4 linked regions of the Drosophila melanogaster genome follow. The protein of the gene in region 1 interacts with the protein of each later gene in a pairwise test. Each region holds a gene or a part of one and is shown in the gene's direction. Other genes may lie near its edges.

Evidence for each region.
Region 2: the proteins of CstF50 (region 1) and CG13731 interact in a two-hybrid assay, tested with the Drosophila melanogaster proteins (one large-scale study listed by BioGRID).
Region 3: the proteins of CstF50 (region 1) and Hmx interact in a two-hybrid assay, tested with the Drosophila melanogaster proteins (one large-scale study listed by BioGRID).
Region 4: the proteins of CstF50 (region 1) and CG13423 interact in a two-hybrid assay, tested with the Drosophila melanogaster proteins (one large-scale study listed by BioGRID).

Annotation. Positions count from the first base shown.
Region 1 is NT_033777.3:31,734,977-31,738,961, reverse strand, and holds CstF50 (cleavage stimulation factor 50 kD subunit), read left to right. Parts: upstream 1-1,998; 5' UTR 1,999-2,081; coding exon 2,082-3,017; intron 3,018-3,071; coding exon 3,072-3,410; 3' UTR 3,411-3,459; downstream 3,460-3,985. Other genes in the region: CG11563 (uncharacterized protein), read right to left, coding at 1,063-1,303, 1,362-1,646, 1,723-1,820.
Region 2 is NT_037436.4:17,383,089-17,390,524, reverse strand, and holds CG13731 (uncharacterized protein), read left to right. Parts: upstream 1-1,568; 5' UTR 1,569-1,777; coding exon 1,778-1,780; intron 1,781-4,062; coding exon 4,063-4,131; intron 4,132-4,190; coding exon 4,191-6,497; 3' UTR 6,498-6,889; downstream 6,890-7,436.
Region 3 is NT_033777.3:17,557,070-17,561,962, forward strand, and holds the start of Hmx (H6-like-homeobox), read left to right. Parts: upstream 1-1,860; 5' UTR 1,861-2,294; coding exon 2,295-3,124; intron 3,125-4,893. UniProt on the Drosophila melanogaster protein: Transcription factor involved in specification of neuronal cell types.
Region 4 is NT_033778.4:20,534,995-20,538,784, forward strand, and holds CG13423 (uncharacterized protein), read left to right. Parts: upstream 1-1,583; 5' UTR 1,584-1,694; coding exon 1,695-2,237; intron 2,238-2,298; coding exon 2,299-3,186; 3' UTR 3,187-3,270; downstream 3,271-3,790. Other genes in the region: Bbd (bombardier), read left to right, coding at 1-330.

The DNA of each region.
Region 1 (3,985 bases):
TGCGAATTCCAATAGAAACTACTCGGGAATAAACGGCTTGAGAACGGGAAGGAGAAACGGGTACAATCCAGGCAAAATCGAACGCGCACACACATGCAGCCGGTCGCCATGTTGGAATTCGAAAGTCTATGCAACTTTATTAATTTACTTGCAATTTAAGGTCGCTGGAAAACCAATTTCCAATTCGAATCGATTTACACAGCTATTATGCAAAAGGAATGAGAAGACCGGCCGGCAGCGCAAATCACTTACACTCTCTCACTTTTCGGAACTTTCTTTACTTTAGAACTTTCTTTAGGTTGGAAAATCGAACCGAAATTCGCCTAATAATGCAGGGTAGGGAATTCTGGGACTTTCCCTTTTTACATTTCCACAACTAATCAATGCCTATTAATATTTTCACAATTTAACGGGAGCTCTGCGTGCACTTACCTCGAAATCACAAAACGGAAAGACCGAAAAAGCAACGATGCTGAGGTGAACGGAGCTGAACTGATTCCGACCTAGAGATGGCACAGGATTCCATGTATGACAAGGGCCTTGGGTTTCCTATTGCATTATGCGGATTTCTTGACTTAAATAAAGTTTCCATCCCTTAAGTATAAAACGTACCAAAATAAAAATAGTAATACAATTTTACTACCATTCATGGAATATTTTATATTCTCTTAAACTGAGTCTTTTGCAGATAAAATAATATAGTACTTTCACGGACTGTCACTAAAAGTATGCACATTCACCACTAATTGCAAAAGACATTGTGCACACTATTCGCTTATGCGTTGAAATAAGACGCAAGCTCCTTCCTTTCTCTCTCTCTCGTCCTGTCGTACGACAGAACAATAGAAAATTTGACAGAACAAAAATGTTAGAAAGGAATTTGAAAAAATACTGTTAATAGTAATGTAATGTAATTAACAGTAATGCTTTAATACGTAGACCTTTTGCGTTCGTCTTTACTTGCCTATTTTATTGTATTAAAAGAATTAAAGTAAGTCTAAACATTACAATTAATAGCATTAGAACCCGAAAACGACTATAATGTACATTGGTCAAGAGCCATTATTTCCATTCACTGTCCGACTCGTATTCCTCCCAGTCCGGTTTCACGCCCACGGGCAACTTCTTCTGCTCCAGGTAAACGTTAAACTGCTCCGGAATCGACATAAATCTGCGAATCTTCAAGCGGAACTGCCGCCACGTCCACTGGCCAAAGTTTTTCCGATCGGCAACCATCGCCTTGTAGTTAAACTTATGTTTGTTAAGAAAGTAGGACAGTTCCTTGACCACGCCCTTGGGTAATCTGTGCAAATACAAAACCTGTATTTTGACAGTTTTCCATTGCAGAATCAATATTTTACCTGAACTCTGGGTCGGCTCGCTCGCTAGCCAGTTGTTCTAGTTCCTGGACTACGTGTCCACGTTTTGGACCCTCCTCTACGACTGGTTTCTTGAGGCCCAATACACGCCGCTCATCCTCGTCCAGCTCCTCCTCCAGAAACCCATTCACAACTCGGGCCGCTAGGAGGCGGTCCTTCTTGTAGCTGGGAATCGCAATGGCCTTGTTGACGTCCTTGGCCAACCCCATTTCACTGAAGTTGGTGCCCACACGCTGGTCCTCCATCCACATCTTTTTCATCCTGGGACTGGTAAGATCATAACAGAAGGTTTTCGTAAACTTGTTGACTCTATTGGCTGTAAGTGCACCAAGATCCAACTTACTCCTTAATTTTTCCGGTGGAACTCCGGGTTTTATTCATCGTCTTGCGGTTTACATTGTAGCGATAACGCTTGCGAGCATGATTCTTGCGGATCTTCATTGTTGAGAGGTTTAATTAATGAATCAAACAATGTTTAAAATCAATTGAGGGGACCAAAACAATTTTAAAACCGCACGTGTTGCAGCTGTTAGGAGTGACCGTGGACCGTAAAATACCGAAACCCTGATTTCAGTATTTCAATACCGCATAGCTAGAGATGACATACCGGCAAGATAAATGTTTTCGATAACGATAACGGCACGGCGTTATCTACAAGATTTTGTTTATATCCGTAGGAAACAAAATATAAATTAAGCCACCATGCGTGATGAGATTTTGGACCCCAGTAACCTAGTGAAGAACCGGGAGATACTCTACCGACTGATGATCAGCCAGCTGATGTACGACGGCCTGGAGAAGTTCGCCATGGAGCTGTCCATGCTGGTGAAGGCGGACCAGTGCGCTCCCAGTGAACGCCTGCTGCACGTAATGATTGCAGGGATGCAGACGCTGAGCGACAAGGACAAAACCAACTCGGATGATGTGCTGCCCGGCATAGACTTGGAATTCGAGCCGGAGGCTTCGGCCTTGGCCCCGGAACCACATTCCTACGAAACCGCGTATGTGACCTCGCACAAGCAGGCCTGTCGCGCCGGCGCCTTCAGTTGCGATGGTTCCCTGGTGGCCACCGGGAGCGTGGATGCCAGCATCAAGATTCTGGACGTGGAGCGGATGCTGGCGAAGTCTGCGCCCGAAGATATCGAGCCGGGCAGGGAACAACAAGGCCATCCAGTGATTCGCACGCTCTATGATCACACTGATGAAGTGTCTTACCTGGAGTTCCATCCCAAGGAGCACATCCTGGCCTCCGCCTCGCGCGATGGCACTGTTAAGTTGTTTGACATTGCCAAGCCTTCGGTAAAGAAGGCCCACAAGGTGTTCACCGACTGCGAGCCGGTGCTGTGCCTGTCTTTTCATCCTACTGGTGACTACGTAGCCATCGGAACGGAACATAACGTCTTGCGGGTCTACGATGTGGCCACCACCCAATGCTTCGTGAGTGCCATTCCCTCGCAGCAGCACAAGGCTGGAGTTACTTGCGTGAAATATTCGCCCACGGGGAAACTCTACGCCACAGGCAGCTATGATGGTGACATCAAAATATGGGATGGGATCAGCGGGCGGTGCATCAACACCATTGCCGAGGCGCATGGCGGAGCGGCAATATGCTCACTGGAGTTTACGCGGAATGGAAAGGTAATGGGACACTATGGGTAGTGGCTGTGCAAGATTTTAACTTATTCATTTTAGTACCTCCTATCTTCCGGTATGGATTCACTGGTTTATCTGTGGGAGCTGTGTACCAGTCGTCCCATTCAGACGTACACGGGCGCTGGAACCACCGGCAAGCAGGAGCACCAGACAGAGGCTGTATTCAACCACACAGAGGATTACGTGCTTTTCCCCGACGAGGCCACCACTTCGCTTTGCTCGTGGAACTCCCGTAACGGCTGCCGCCTGACCCTTAACTCGCTTGGACACAACGGACCTGTCCGCTATATTACGCATTCGCCCAATGGTCCTGCTTTCCTCACCTGCTCCGACGACTTTCGGGCACGTTTCTGGTACCGAAGAGCAAATAATCAGTAAACGGATGAAGCTACACCAATCGAATAAAACTTTAAGGAATAAAATATGTACACGTTCATTATTCAATTATTGTGATTGGCTGTGGGGGTTTTTAAGTGTATCGATTTGTGATTTTATCAGAATTAATGAAATATGTTTCAAACGCTTTTAAAAATAATTAATCAGTAAAATTTTCTTTATTAAAAACTCGTTTGTGGTTTTTCCATGAATAGTTATCCTAAAATCGCAACTATAATTTCTAGTCATTGAGCGCACAAGTCTTAAGTCGTATTTGTTGCGTTAAGTAAACTGTAAAAATCATAATACATAATACCAGATTGGGATTCCGTATAAATATCAGTTGTCTCTTCACTGGAAGTCCGTTTTGTTGTACGCTGGAACATTGATCCAATGCCTTATGACTACACCTAGATCCTAGTTAAGTGGCCTTAGTAGTTAATTAAGTTTACAACATTTCGTGGGGCCGCAGAACAGCGTTGTCGCGTTCCTCCGAAGCCACCAACACGTTTTGAAGATTGCACAATTAGCCAATACATTTGATTCCAACTTGTTGCCAAGGAAATGAACAAAATTAT
Region 2 (7,436 bases), on another chromosome or scaffold:
CGACGGTCTTGTTTGATTCGAAAACCGCTAACGTCCTTCAGTGGAGTCCAAAATTTGAGGCAGCAAATTATCAGACACTCGGTATGGAAGTTGAATAATCGTCTGTTGCAATGTCGGATGAGGTGACAAAAAAAGGCTTTTCCTCTAGCCGGCAGTCAAGAAGCATTCGATGAGCCAAAAACTAAAAAAGAAAAAAATAATAAAAACAATTCAGTCGCTTCAGTTATCCGCAATGACAAATTTGAAATGTCAGCAGTCGCCGCCAAGTGTCATTGCCTTTGTGAAGATGTGCGAAGCAAGTTATGACCCGAATAAGTTAGCCAGCAATTATGTAATAAAAGACAAGAATTAATGTGGCTCTAAGTGGCGTCTGATGGCCGCAGGGGTGACTTCCGTTCGGCTGCACTTCCTCTGGGTGTTGTTCCGCCGTTTTATCTAGACCCTGACTACCCAGTGACCACGCACCTTTGGGCCGAAAGAGTTCAAAGTCACATCTATTTTGGGCCCGCTCATGACTGCGCGTGGCCAGTGGGTGTCACTCTGATTGGTTCATTAAAATCAAGACGTGACTGCTTGCGAATAAATAAATTCTAGTTATTAAACTGGCGAAATGCAGGCGATGACAAATGCCGAAACCCGTTTGGGAGTCGCTCGAAGAATGCAGCACTGAACACCGATCACCGATCACCGATCATCGAGATCTTCGAGTGTGCGTTTAAAGGTCACTCGGCTGACACGGAGTCAGAGATGAGCTGAGCCGAGCTGAGCCTACCTTAACATTCAACTCCGGCTGCCATCTGCTGACCCCCGGGCACACGCATTTTTGGCCAAGTCAACCGGTTCATGTTCAATTGGCCGACTCCAACTCCAACATCGACTCGCAACTCCAACTGCATTTAGGCCTGATCCGAGGGGTAAGTGCCATTAGCCAACGCCTGATCTTCTCGGCCTTATTTGCCTTGGCAAGCTTCGTTGGGAGCCTTGACTTGGCTCTCGATCGTCGAGCCAGCTTCGGCTTGTCTCATCGATTGATGAAATTCGGTGGCTCGGACCCATTTACCAAATTAAATGCTGCACGACAACGTGTTTAACACTCGCCGCAGACTTCTGCCAAAAGTACGAGCATATTTGCCAGCCATCGGAGTTGGCTAAATAGAAATGCCAACAAGAGCAGGCGTTGGTGGATGGATGGTCGGATGGCCGGATGGTGCGTCTGGCTTAGTTGCTCTTCTGCCATAATTGCTGGGCCTTAATTTGGCTGCCTTTTTGTCTTAGCCATGTTATCTGGCTGTTAACTCACAAACATCAAACAACCGAGACTGGTTGGCTTTCTGGTCAGCATTCAGCTGTCGGCGTCGCTGTCGACGAAGGCTGAGGCATCAGCAGCGGCAGAGACTTCGTATTCGGCTCATCTTCATCTGGCCAAAACGCTTTCGATTTCGGCTTTTGGCCGTGTGTTAACAGCTGTCGCCCAGGTGAAGATGCCTCTGCCGACGCCGCTGCCCAAGTGGGCAGATGCTGGGTCCGAGTATATATAGAAAATCTACAAGTTTTGATGCTTTAGTTGGTATTCCACACTCGACCTAGAAGTTAAACCAACTTAGCTTGGCATCGATCAAATTCAATCGTCCATTGAATTTGATACGATCGGTCGCGTCTTCTCCTTTCCGATCCTCACAGTACCGTCCGCAAGGATTATTCACGCACACCGCCTAGGATTACCTACGCACCCGGGATTACCGCAACTGCCGTTTGTAGCAGTCCGAAAGTGTACACCATGGTAACCGAACCCAGTTCCAATCCAATCTAAACCAAAACGAACAATGATCGTGTGCAAAGTGCAAAATAACGAAACAAGTGTCCCTCGGTGTGAAGACAAACAAGACAGACATTTCGCAAAGGAAAAGCAGTGCAGATGAAGATAAAAAGTATCAGTTTTGTTGGTCCAAAATATTTAGGGAGTTTCCACGTTTTATAGTTTGGGCTTGTGACAGTACAGAAAATAATTGAACGAATACGAATTTTCAATGATATTTGTATTCAAACTTTAATTTTAAATTAAAACATTTCTTGTGTTAAAATAATGTGTCAGCTATTTAGCGCTAGATCTTCAGAAATTTATTAATCCGAACTTGTATAAAAGGATACTAAAAAAGCATGTTCTACAATTTTATAGGGATACAATCATAAAAAAGGGTTATAAGATAAGATAGGGCCTTTAAGTTCATTCAAAATCATTCCGATTTTTCTCTGTGCATACCCAAGCATCGCAAACAAGAAGAAATAGCAAATAAATTGCCAACACCGACTGCAGTTCCAATTCAATCGCCATCTATTTGCATTTCACATTTTGTCGAGGGTCCAGCTCTGGACCCGGGCTATCATCGCGAGTTAAGAGTTGACCAGATGGCGGTTGACATTTAAGCCATGTAGAAATTGAGCAAGTGGCATCGAGTGCAATGTTACGCATACGCCGTGTTGGCCGCCCACAGAGCAAATCGCCTTGGCGCGATCCGCAATTTGCGTATTAAGTCATTAGGATGGACCAGCTGCATGTGCATTCTGCCATGTGGCGGCAGTTTCTATGTCAGCATTGACATGGCTGAAGATGAAATTAAAACTTGTTTTTTTTTCCATAATTTTCGCTTTTGCTTCTGACATTTGCTAGTCGCAATTTGCGATTGGCGTATTTAGGTAAATAGCCATAAAAACGTTGCCTTAAGTTAGATTCTTGACGTTGCCATTGAATAGACGTCCATTAATCACCATCATTGTTGCCAAAGAAGATTTCATTTGTTAAAGGGCCGACTGATCTTTTCCCCAGACTTTAATTCACCCAAATCTCTCACAGTTTCGGAAAAATAAAGTTGCCCCAAAAGTCTTGGCATTGGGGCTCTGCCCTCGAGGCGGTGTGAATCAGATTAATTAGCTGCCAATTAGCTCACTGAACAGTCGAGGGAATCGGTTTGCCCCTGCAAATATCTCTCCAAGTCCTTTCACTTTCTAACCTTTAAGCACCACCCGCCATAAGTCAAACCCGATTTGGTTCTCGATATCCTCAGCTCAATTGTGGCTGATATTTAAAACAAGTTAGAACAGCAAAAATTTTAGGTTCATTAGCATAAATTATTTAAAATCATTTACATACAAAGATCAAATATTTTTGAAATTAGCAAACAATCAGAAACCAACAAAAAAAATAAATGAAACTGGACCCAGTCGATTTTGGAGGTATGGCTTAAAATCTAACAGATTTGGTTATAAATGACAACCGGGGCTTACTATTCTTCGCATGCCAGATGCGTATGCTAATTTTGCGTTTTCTCACTAGTTTTATGGCCAGTCTTTGCTGATTATTATATAATCATGGCTAGAACTGGTCTGGAGTTTGGGGCCCGGATCCGGGCCGGTTTCTTTCATAATCGGCTATTTTTATAGCCCCCGAAAATTCTCCGTCAGCCAATTAATTGAGCTCATCGACACTGGCCATCTGCGGCCATCGACGAGCACTTTCATTAACTAACAATGACCTTGCCGAAACTCCAGCGACAAATGCAAATAAACCCGCTGACAGCATCGTCGGAAGCCATAATTCAGGGGCTACTTCCTCGGATCCCCATTGAGCTTCGGATCTGTTGTGTCGCTCCGCATTTGCATGGGCATTATGTATCAATCGCGTCAATCTGCGATATTTACATACATAGCTCCGGGGGAGGGGACTGACCTAGAGATGCTAATGCCCGTCAAAGTTGAATGTCTGCGTTAGCATTTCGGGTGATTTTCAATGCATTATGGTAAATCGATTCGCCAGCTTGGCTGTTTGTTGGCTGAACTTTACCACAGTTTTGAACTGCAGGCCAGCGGAGTTGCCTTGCCTCCTCCGACCCCGACCAAGTTGCCACGAAGCGTGAATAGGCGATTAGCCTAGAAGGCGATCAATTAGTCGCAATCAGGTTGTTAGAGCCAGTCGTTAGTCTGAGCACCTCTGTACGGCGACACCATCGAAGTCCATCAATATGTAGCATCACTAATCAGGCTGTGTTTTTCGTTCCTTCCCCACAGAGAAGTGCACTGTTCGTCTTGGCGCTTTGCGTTGTGGCTGTGGCCACCGCATCGGCCGATAACCATGAGGTAAGTGCGGAAATCTGACGATTCCCTGCCAACAGGAACTTACAAGCCACTTTTTACAGCGCAAGACTCGTGCCGCCGAGGGATACTTCTACCCCCCTCCCGATGTTCCATTCGATCTGCCCGTCCGCACCACACAGCCGCCAACAAGGCCGCCAACGCGCCCTCCTACTAGGCCACCCACCAGGCCACCCACCAGGCCTCCCACGCCACCACCAACCTACCTGCCGCCCACCAACAAGCCACTGCCACCAGTGACCACCCGTCTTCCTCCACCACCACCACCACCAAGGACTCCTCCCCCAACGAGGCCCCCAACTAGGCCACCAACCACTCGTCCTCCGGCAACCTACCTGCCACCCACCAACAAGCCACTGCCACCAGTGACCACCCGTCTGCCTCCTCCACCACCATCACCAAGGACTCCTCCACCAACGAGGCCGCCAACTAGGCCACCAACCACTCGTCCTCCAGCAACCTATCTGCCACCCACCAACAAGCCACTGCCACCAGTGACCACCCGCCTGCCTCCTCCACCACCACCACCAAGGACTCCTCCACCAACGAGGCCCCCAACTAAGCCACCAACCACTCGTCCTCCAGCAACCTACTTGCCACCCACCAACAAGCCACCGCCACCAGTGACCACTCGTCGTCCAACACCACCACCAACGAGGCCACCACCACCACCGACCCGTGCATCGACTCCAGCTCCTACCTACCTGCCTCCCACCAACAAACCACTGCCACCAGTCACCGTGCGCACCACTGTTCGCACCACTCCTCGTCCAACTCCTCCTCCTACCAAGCCACCAACTCGCCCACCAACCACTTATCTGCCACCCCCAACTGTGCGCACCACCCGCCCTCCTCCACCACCCACTCGGCCACCAACTAAGCCACCAACCACTTACTTGCCTCCCGTTACCGTGCGCACCACCCGTGCCACCCCCCCACCAACTCGCCCACCAACCCGGCCACCAACCTACCCACCGACCACTCGTCGTCTGACCACTCCGGCTCCTACTTACTTGCCACCCACCAACAAGCCTCTGCCACCGGTCACCGTTCGCACCACCGTTCGTACCACTCCTCGTCCAACTTTGCCTCCTACCAAGCCACCAACTCGCCCACCAACCACTTACCTGCCACCCCCAACTGTGCGCACCACCCGCCCTCCTCCACCACCCACTCGTCCACCAACTAAGCCACCAACCACTTACTTGCCTCCCGTTACCGTGCGCACCACCCGTGCCACCCCACCACCAACTCGTCCCCCAACTCGCCCCCCAACCCCTCCTCCAACTAGGCCACCACCACCACCAACCCGTGCATCGACTCCAGCTCCTACCTACCTGCCTCCCACCAACAAACCACTGCCACCAGTCACCGTGCGCACAACTGTTCGTACCACTCCTCGTCCAACTTTGCCTCCTACCAAGCCACCAACTCGCCCACCAACCACTTACTTGCCACCCCCAAGTGTGCGCACCACCCGCCCTCCTCCACCACCCACTCGTCCACCAACTAAGCCACCAACCACTTACTTGCCTCCCGTTACCGTGCGCACCACCCGTGCCACCCCACCACCAACTCGCCCACCAACCCGGCCACCAACCTACCCACCCACCACTCGTCGTTTAACAACCCCGGCTCCTACTTACCTGCCACCCACCAACAAGCCTCTGCCACCGGTCACCGTTCGCACCACCGTTCGTACCACTCCTCGGCCAACTCTGCCTCCTACCAAGCCACCAACTCGCCCACCAACCACTTACCTGCCACCCCCAACTGTGCGCACCACCCGCCCTCCTCCACCACCCACTCGGCCACCAACTAAGCCACCAACCACTTACTTGCCTCCCGTTACCGTGCGCACCACCCGTGCCACCCCACCACCAACTCGCCCACCAACCCGGCCACCAACCTACCCACCCACCACTCGTCGTTTGACAACCCCGGCTCCTACTTACCTGCCACCCACCAACAAGCCTCTGCCACCGGTCACCGTTCGCACCACCGTTCGTACCACTCCTCGGCCAACTCTTCCACCCACGAGGCCCCCAACTAAGCCACCAACCACCTACCTGCCTCCCCCAACTGTGCGCACCACCCGCCCTCCTCCACCACCCACTCGGCCACCAACTAAGCCACCAACCACCTACCTGCCCCCCGTCACTGTTGTGCGCACCACCCGACCTCCTCCACCACCCACTCGTAGGACCACCGTGTACGTGCCACCACCAACAGTGCGCACCACCGTGTACGTGCCACCCCCTACGCAGCGCACCACAGTCTACGTCCCACCCGCACCCACCAAGCACCAGGGCTACCAGTACCCCGTGCCCAGCATCCCCTTCAACTTCTAGATCTAGAGATCCAGATGTGATTAGGGATAGGGCCATCGTCTAGGGCTAGATTGATCTAGTCAATTCTCGTACAGTCTAACTTTACACGATCCGGCGCCAGCGGTGCTAGAGGGCGCCACTGGTGCGCCTGCAAGGACGACATTTGTTTGTTTTTATTTTATTTTTGTAATTAATGAATCGCATACTCATACAGCTAGGGATCATTGTAAATGAGTGCCCCAATTGTACAGCTAACAGTCTATCCAACTCTTGCTATGTTCTATCACTATTCTACAATCGATGGGCGGCCGTCGTCTGTGACGGACGCCAGCTCAAGACTATATAGCTCTATATTACGATTAAATAAACTTTTAATTCGGATCGCTGAAACCTGAACAATAAAATAAGTTTTTCGAATATTTACAAGCATTTTTTTCATCTGTTTTTGGGAAGCGGAAATTACATGCGGTCCTGTTATGTTATGTGCGATGTTTGAAACCCAAACAATAATAACATATTTTCTTTTTCACTCCTAACCGGGAAATGGGATCAAGCCATGTCCGGGAGATTTTGTGGTCTGGTTGGTCTCGTGGGTTCCTCCTCTTTTGGGAGTTATCTTAAAAGTCGGTTTTAACGACTATGCAAAGGAGATCGTTGCTTGCAAGTCATAAAGCGCCCAAAGTGCAGGTTAGGCAGTTAACCTTGACCTCCACTTCTGGTCTCTACTAATTTAAGTTATGGATGTGAAACACGTTAGCTTAGTTAATAGGTTTGAAAAGTTCGTATGAGTAGGTATTTAAATACATGTATGTTTACTATGAGCGATGTATATTTTCATGAAATATGAAATAATTTAACCTTAGGTTATAATTAAATGTCAAATTTGAGATATAGTTAAAATGTGATTTGAACTTATGACTTTTAAAATATTGAATCGATTTTTTTAATATAATTATTGAT
Region 3 (4,893 bases), about 14 Mb from region 1:
ACCACCTAAGTGTCACTATTTCTGAAACCGTCGAGGTGGCCGGAATTCTTCCAATTCCCCACTCCATTGTTTCCCGGAAAAGCCCCGTCCCCCATTGGATTTATTTTTTATACACCCCCAATCCCACTCTAAAGTCTTACACGAAAACGAATCAAAAACAAGCAATGCACAGAGGGAAATTACGGAAAAATGTGTTACGGACGCAGGTGATGGCTCCGTCAACACACACACACACACACATGCACAGCTCCTCCAAGGGGAAATGGGAGGTGGTGGGTGGCAGATGGGGGTGCTGGGCGGGTGCAAGGGTGGCGCCTTGCCCTCAGCACGTGGAGACGCACTTTGGCAAAAGCAATCTTCTAAACAGGATAAATGTAATTGCGCATGAATTTCTACGCATATTTCGGCGTCGCTGTCTGAGCTGCAAATGTTTGTTACCCATTTGTTTGGTTGTGTTTTTTATGCTCGCTTTTCCCGTCGCTGAAAAGCGTTCTCCGACATTTCGAGGAGCTGTCACCCCATTGGCCCTCCACTGGCCACGCCCCCAAAGAGAGTGCTCTCTCCGGTCTCGCCGTCTCTCTCTTTCGACGGGTAATTGACTCGCATAATGTTTGTTTTGTTTTGAGCAAATCGTTTGCAACACTCTTTGAATGCCTCGTGGTTGTCTCATAAAAAGCGAAAGCATTTAAAAATTCAATTTGCCCTCTCTCTCATTCTCTCTCTCTCTAACTTTTTCTTGCTCTCACCCGCTCTTTTTCTGCAAAGTTTGCAGAGCTCCTTCGCAAAAATGGCCGCCTGTTCGCTTTTTGGGGGAGGTTTTCTCTTTGGGGAACGGAACGCTGTGGAATGAAACATGCTATAAGGTAGAAAGCTCAGAGATTCCAAATAAAAGAAGAAACGGGAATGCATTACAATGACATGAACGATACTAAATATAACTTAATACGTTGGGAAATTGCTTACATATTTTTAATTATTTAAATATAATTGTTGAAAATCTTTCACTTAATTTCTTAAGGATACCTTCTATCCTCGTATTTTTGATAATATCGTTTTTGATTAACGTTGTTCTTCACCATTTCGTTATCAAACATAATAAATACATTTGATATTTTATACATTTGATAACACCCACAAAACCTCTTTTACTTTTCTTTGCATAATTTATAAGTTGCTTGTTTATTTCTTTCGATATTTTAGCAATTCAATGATTTATCTATATCACCGAACCCCATTTGTTGAAACTTTCACCGCTCAATCTGCTAACCGCAAGGTTGCAATCGACTGGTGCATTTTCGGCACACACTTTTCTGGTCGAAAAAGTTTGCATCTGGCTGGCTGGGAAATTTCAATGGCGCCACAGAGCAACACTTGACCCCTGTTAGGTGGCAATTGATTGATTTTATATTGGCATTTCAATAGACACCAGCCGAGCGAAGCGATTCGAGTCGAGCCGAGTGCGCCCCCACTTTAGACGCGTTCCAAATGCCAAGTGTTTCCCATTCGGGGGGTAGGAAAACCAAAGCGCACTCCACCAGCACCGCAGAGAAAAAATAGTAAAGGAGGAAAATGCGAAAAGTGTCTGTCGATGCGGTTGCAGTGCAATTGTCGAAATAAACGAAAAGAAATTCCGAACTGCAAATGGAATGAAAAAGAGCGGCAGAAGGGGTGGGCCACCAGGCGGTGAAAGAGAGGGACAGCGAGAGCGATAGAGAGAGAGTGGGACACACCCTCCCAGGAGGGGTAGCAAATACGCAAGTGTGTGTGTGAGTGCGGAAAACCATTTAGCGCAAAGACCAAAAGAATTTGCAGGGCTGCCAGCCAACCACCTCAGTCTCAGTTTCAGTTCCACGCTCTCCGGACACGAGACCGGGGGTTAAAAATCCAGAGACTGAAACAATAAAAACACTAAACGATCGCTTTGCCACACACAAACACAAGCACACACACACACGCAGACACACACAAGCACTCGCATACATACAGAGACAGAAAGGACGAAGGACTCAGAACACAGAACTCAGGACTGCGTCTGTTAACAGCCGCATTTAAATTCAAATGCGAAACGTTGATCAAACGGTGCAGACGTGTTTCTCCCAACGGTAGCGCTCGGCGTTTTCCCTTAACGAGTTTTTCGTGGCACGACTGAAGTGTACAAGGTTTGGAAAATTCTTTATTTTCCTAACAAATATATATAAAACAAAAAAAAAAAAACACACACACAAGTGCAAGTTGAAGAACAAAAGTGCTGAATTAAACGTTTAAACTGCAAATCTAAGCAAAAATCTCAAGCTATGTCTTCCTCCGAGGCCGAAGTTGACATCAGTGTGGTGTCCAGTCCGGAGCCGAGTCCTTTGGGCGCCGCTGCCCGCGACAGTCCGCTGCTGGCCCGCTCGCCGGCCCGTTCCGCCGACGGCAGTTCGCCCCCGGCCACGCCTACCCATCGCTCCAATACGCCCAACACGGCCGCCGGCACGCCCACAACGTCCGCCTCGGGCGGCAATCACTTCCATCACAGTCCCAGCGGAGGCGCTGTGCCGCCGGCGGTGTTGCACCATCATCTGCAGCACCATCTGAGCAGCCTGGGCAGCCATCCGGTGGCGCTGCATCACGCGCTCCACACCTTTGGCCACTTGCATCCCGCCCACGGGGCCACACATCCCGCCCTGCTGCAGCACGCACTCACGCCCACCGGCCAGCAGCAGCAGCAACAGTTGCAGGTGCAGCAGCAACACCAGCAGTCGCATGTCGAGCGCCTTAGTCCGCCAATGAAGAGTCCGGAGCGGAATGGCGGCGATGAGGTGCAAGGACACAGTCTGAACAACAACAACAGTAAGGCCCTCAATCACAACAACACTTGCGCCTCGGCGGCCGCAGCGGCGGCAGCAGCAGCGGTGGCAGCGGCCAACCTGAGCAACAACAGCAACGACAGCAACGGGAGCAGCGGGGGCGGCGGCGGCAAGAGCACCACCGGCTCCAACGGATTCACCAGCTTCTCCATCTCCAGCATCCTGAGTCGCAGTGAGCCGGCCAAGAAGAACGGCGCCGCCGGACTTATCACTCCGATCCCGCAGTTGCCGCAACCAGGAGCCGGCGGTCCACAGGATGCGGCCATGTTGTCCAGGTAATTAAAAAACATTCCAGACTTGCTCTAGTCAAAAATAGCCCTCCCATTTCAAATGTGATTAATCTTGTAAATATGAAGTCGCCAAATTTAAAAATCTTAGTGTCAACATTTTACTTCAATTCATTTTAACAATTTAATCTGCAAAAATTTAGTCCATCCATCTGTCATATATAATTAGTTACTTCTGACGATATTCAGCTATTCCGCCTAATTTTGATCCGCAAGATATTTTAAAAAAATACAAACTCGAACTAAAATTTCATTCAAATTTTAACCCTATAATTACTGAAATTAAATGAGTATAATTTCATATGCCCAAGGATTTCCCATTGAATACCTTTTTTTGTAATAATAAAAATCACTCGTCTTAAGTACCATACCCATTTATTGCTCAGTGTAGGCGACCCAGATTAGGACGTTCGCCGGCGAACTGAAACCAAAAAGTCAAGCCTTGCCTCAATGAGCCCAAAACCCAAAGAGGCTGCCATTCCACTTGTTCGCCCTCGGGTTGGGCCAATTTTGTATAATCGTCCTAGGGGAAGACAAGGCAAGGTGACACAAATCTCTTCGCAGGAAGTGCACAAAGAGGAGAAATGGGATGGAGACGGACTGAGATGGTAGCCGGGAGATGGTCGATAAGACCGAAAATTGTTGGGCAAACGTTACACGAGACATTAAGTGGGTGAAGATGCAAATGGCTAAAGTACCATGCCATTGTGCTCCGAGAATCTAACGATTCCAAATTCCAGATGCCAGACAGATAAAGCAAATCCAATGGAACCGTTTTTAGTTGCACTGGACGCTAGCTGACCTCGAATATATGCAGAAAAGGTCTAAACCATTTTTGCCCTGCAATTTGGCCAGACTATCGAGTTACATAACATTTGTTAGATGAAATTTAATGCACCGCTTCGGGAATGAATGTAACCGACTGTCCGGCTGATTGACGGACTGACAATGCTCCAGTATCGTATGCAAAACGTGGTCCTTTCGAATGAATGAACCCTCAGTCCCTCCAAGCTGACCCACAAAAACTGGTACGTTTCTACAGCTGTTTGTTGTGCGAATGCAACTTATTGATACACAATGTGCACTGGAAATAAACAAGTCCGAGCTAATATTAACGGATTTTGTAAAATTTAATTGTGAAAAATAGCACTCGAAAAATGTACACCTACATAAATCTATATTTATTTAGGTACTATTCATTAAAGAGCTTATTTCTCTTGCAACATATTCCATTGATTCAATTTAAATTTGTCTCAGTGCAAATGCGTTTTTTATTCATTTCATTCATATCATAAACGCTGGCATATTAACCCCACTTAGCCGGCTTTTTGAGTCAGCGATCGAATTTCCAGGCAGCTCGATTAACGCATGTGTTGAATTAAAAAAAAAAAAAAACAACCAAGAGAATTTATAAGTTGCACTTTTATTTTACGAGAGAATGGGAGGGGGACTCCCCCAGACGTTTTAGTCCTCGAACTTTTTAATAACGATCATTTTCATTTCATTTACGCGTGCCCGCGTCGCTGATCGTCTCGATAAGGAAAGTCGGGCTGGTGGGCAGGTTCTGTGGCCGAGGGTCGCTACTGTCCCAGTCAACTGGACTGTGGCCCGTGCGTGGTTACCCCAATTAAGGACCTCGTCCTGGACAAAGTGTCGCCTCCTGCTGTTTGGCGCTAGCCCAGCTGACGTGTGGCTGCCTATGTGACTGGCTTATCAGTTGATCATCATCGGCCAGAATGATTAATGCCGGGGGGATA
Region 4 (3,790 bases), on another chromosome or scaffold:
CTCAATGATCACGGCCAGGTGTACACATTCAGGCCAAAAGCAGCAGGCATTAACGAAAAGGAAACCGTCACCATCAACGGACAACCGGCTCAGGTGGAGTACTCCAATGGTGATATAGTCATCGAACTGGCCGATCATACGGTGATTGCCAAGATAGGTGGACGCACATTTCTGGGCGATCGCGAATCCTTCGACAATCGGGATAAATTAGAGGCGGAGGCAAAGAACTATGCCGATCGTATCCAGCAAGAGGTGCACGCCAATCTCCAGAAAACCATGGCTGATATTCAAAGGGATCTTCAGAATTCCCTGGGAAATATTTTCTATTAGAAGCCAAGTAATCAATCGTACACGAGTCGCTCGAAATAAAGCGCCTTTGCAGCAATTGTCTTGACTTTAATTGTCTTATCTATGGTTTACAAGCTAAGATGTTCTAAAAGATACATATCTAGTGTGTAATCCAAGTACAACAGACCCCAGACATGAGGCGTCTTTGGGCATAATCTTCCCATTTGACCGGCCTGAGGCCACAAACGTGTGGGTGGTTAGGTCAATTAATGGGAAATGACGCCCGGCAAATGTGATTGATTAGCGGGAAACTCACCGTATAGGCAGCTTATGGGGCGGCTAAATCTAATGCTTAGTATCGCCTAACAGACTAGGTTTGTATGGGCGTGTGGCGATTGGAATACAATTACCGAGCTTGCGGCGGTGTTTATGAACACTTCTTGGTATTTAAATGACGGAATTTCCCAACGAATCTTCGTAAATAAGACCAAGGTCTCTTATTCTTTATATTTGTGTTTTCCAAGCTAACTTAATAAATTCTTAATTAATGGCCTTGATCTTTTGTCAGCCACAAATTGTCTAATTGCATTGCTGTATACATTTGCTTGTTTATGAAAAATGCTTTTAATTGAATTAGGGTGGGTCGAACGAAATTTCTGCTTATTTTGTATTTCTAAATCGAGATTTGAAATTAAATTTCCATCGATGTTAAATCTTAAATTTCTATATCAGGTTGACAGTTATATATTTAATAAACTGCTACAAATTTGTTAAGTGAGAATGCTATAGTCGACTTGGGCAAATCGATAGAAATTTACAAGACAAATAAAAATATATAAAAAGTTTTAGTTTTGGGCGGCTTGTCGGCGTAAGAGGGATCGTTCAGAATGTGTAAGGTTGATCTAGAGCTTGATTTGCAACCCATAGTCAGTACAAACCAAGTATCTTATCTGTGTCCTTGTTGTCCATTTCGAAGATTGATTCGCTGCCATTTCCCATTTTCAAATTCAATGTCAATTCTGTTAATATGAGCGGAATGAACGCAGTGGATGGATATGTGGGGTGAACTTTTTATCTTAATGACTTTATTTATAGGCTGAAACTTAAAAGCGAAAACAATGGTATTCAAGTTATGTGAAGCAAAAATATCGAACTGCGCGCGAGCAGCTAGAGATGTGTTTTTTTTTTATCGATCCGGTATTTGATTGATAAATAATCGATTGTAAGTGGACACGTGCCCAAACACGTTGCGTTTGACAACTGCTTTTCTATCCAATTAATTGCGATAAATAGACGAAACGAATTCGGACCGAAAGATAGGTCTAAATTTATAGTGTCTATTCCTGCGCTTTCTAATGTCAACCACTTGAGATATTCGGAATAAGATCACTCGTCAAGATACGAAAATGAGCTTTTTGTTGACCGAACCGCAGTGGTCCGCCTGGTACTCCGCCTTTTACGCGTCTTCGATGAATCGTCTGGCCCAGAATGTGTGCACCGCTCAAGATCCCATCACTGTATGCCTGCGATCCGAGGCGGACTTATGCTCCGTTCCGTCAGGTGTGAAAACCTGGATAGAGTTGAGCAGGCAGGGCAAGGCCACTACCGGTGGTCCGGGATGGATATGCACGGGCCTGGACCTGCTGTGCCAGGAGATGGACAGAAAGTTGCCGCTTCCACTGGACTTTGAACTCTCCGCCGCACATTTGTTTTTCTGGCACAAGTTGGAGCGATGCAACTACTTCCTGTGGACGGTCGCCGATCTTCTAATGCGTTGCGAACCGCTGGATGGGCGCTGCTTTCGGAATTTAATTAAGAACCCAGTGCCAGATGGAGGCAACTGGCAAATGTTCGTTAATCTGGTCAAAAAATACGGAGTTATGCCCAAGAAATGCTACCTCCACTCCACTCAGCGAACTACAAAAATGAACCTCATACTGAAGAGTAAGGTTGGTATTTTGTATTGTACTGAATATTATATACATATGTATATATTTCCTTCACCTAAAGCTACGTGAATATGCCAGCATGCTGCATGCTCAGTTCACCTTTAATGGGAATGGCTGCCGTCTCCCCGATCTCATTCAAGAAATGATTCCGCATCTCTTCAAAGTAATATGCATCTGCCTTGGTGAACCTCCCAAGGTTTTCACCTGGTCCTTCTACGACCACAAAAAGCGTTACCAGTGCCTGAATGATATGACAGCGGTCCATTTCTACGAAGTTATGGTAGGCTGTACGGTGAATCTAGACGCCTTTGTCTGTCTGGGTCACGATCCGCGAATCTCATCCAGCTACCATAGCAACTATCAGGTTGCCAACAGCTCGAATATGATGGGCGGAAAACCTCATAGGTATAATAACCAATCAATGGACATCATAATGCAGATCATGGTGACTTCTCTGGAAGGTGATAAACCCGTTTGGATGGCCTGCGATATTCGTAGAGCAATCAGTTTGAAGTCCGGTCCATTAAGCCTGAGATCGCATCAATTTGATTTGCTATTTGGCTTTAAAGTGGGCGAGTCGCTCACCAAAGCAGAGAGACTTGACTACAGAGCATCCCGACGGGATGCAGCCCTGCTCCTTACATCCGTTGGATTGGACACCTTGAAACAGCCCGTACAGTTTCGCTTCATAAATGCTTCTACAATTGGCGAGTCTCCCGCCACCGGAGGTCTTAATGAACACGATGTGGACGAAAAGGTTACGAAGGCATTAAGAAAGAAGTCGGTCAAACCACCGGATAACAAATTGGACGCCGAATGGTTAAGGGAGTACGCTTTTGAGATTGTAGTCCACGAAAAATTTGTCCCATCGGGTGTTTTACATGCCGCAAGGATACATAAATGGAAAGAACTGCCTGCTTGGGATCCCATGGGCGCATTACTTAATTAAAAAATTGTTTAGAACCAAAAAAAAAATCTTTCATAAGAAATACATTTACTACATTTTATTTGCCTTCTTGAATAGATAAAAACTAAATCCATTCATTCAATTCAAGAAGAAAGTTCAACAACAATGACAAATTTCAAGTATTTTTCCGAACTGTGGGCGTGGCAACGTGAAATAAACTTGCGCTGCTTAATTTCAACTTTCTAGCTTTTATAGTACCTAAGATCTATCGATCGTGATCATGAATACTTGATATGGTCGAAAACGCTTTCTTCTTCCCTTTTACCCTTTTACTCTACGTGTAACTACGAGTATAAAAACAGTCAGCACGATTGAGTTTTGTTGTTTGTTGAAAATAGTTTTAGTAAGTAGTGAACAATTGACTACACTCTCGTTTAAAGTGTCCCATTTTTGAGTTTCCTGCGAACTCTTGTGCCAGCCGCCAATCGCTTGCATAAAATTATTTAAATATCCCGCAACGTTGTGTCCTTTGTGGCAGTTGTTGTCATCGTCACCGAGGCGCGACCTTCACTAAGTTTTTCGGGAATCGCTCCTACGTGCCCGGCATGACTAATTAGGCATTAGGGAGTTCTCGACAAGAGTTGTT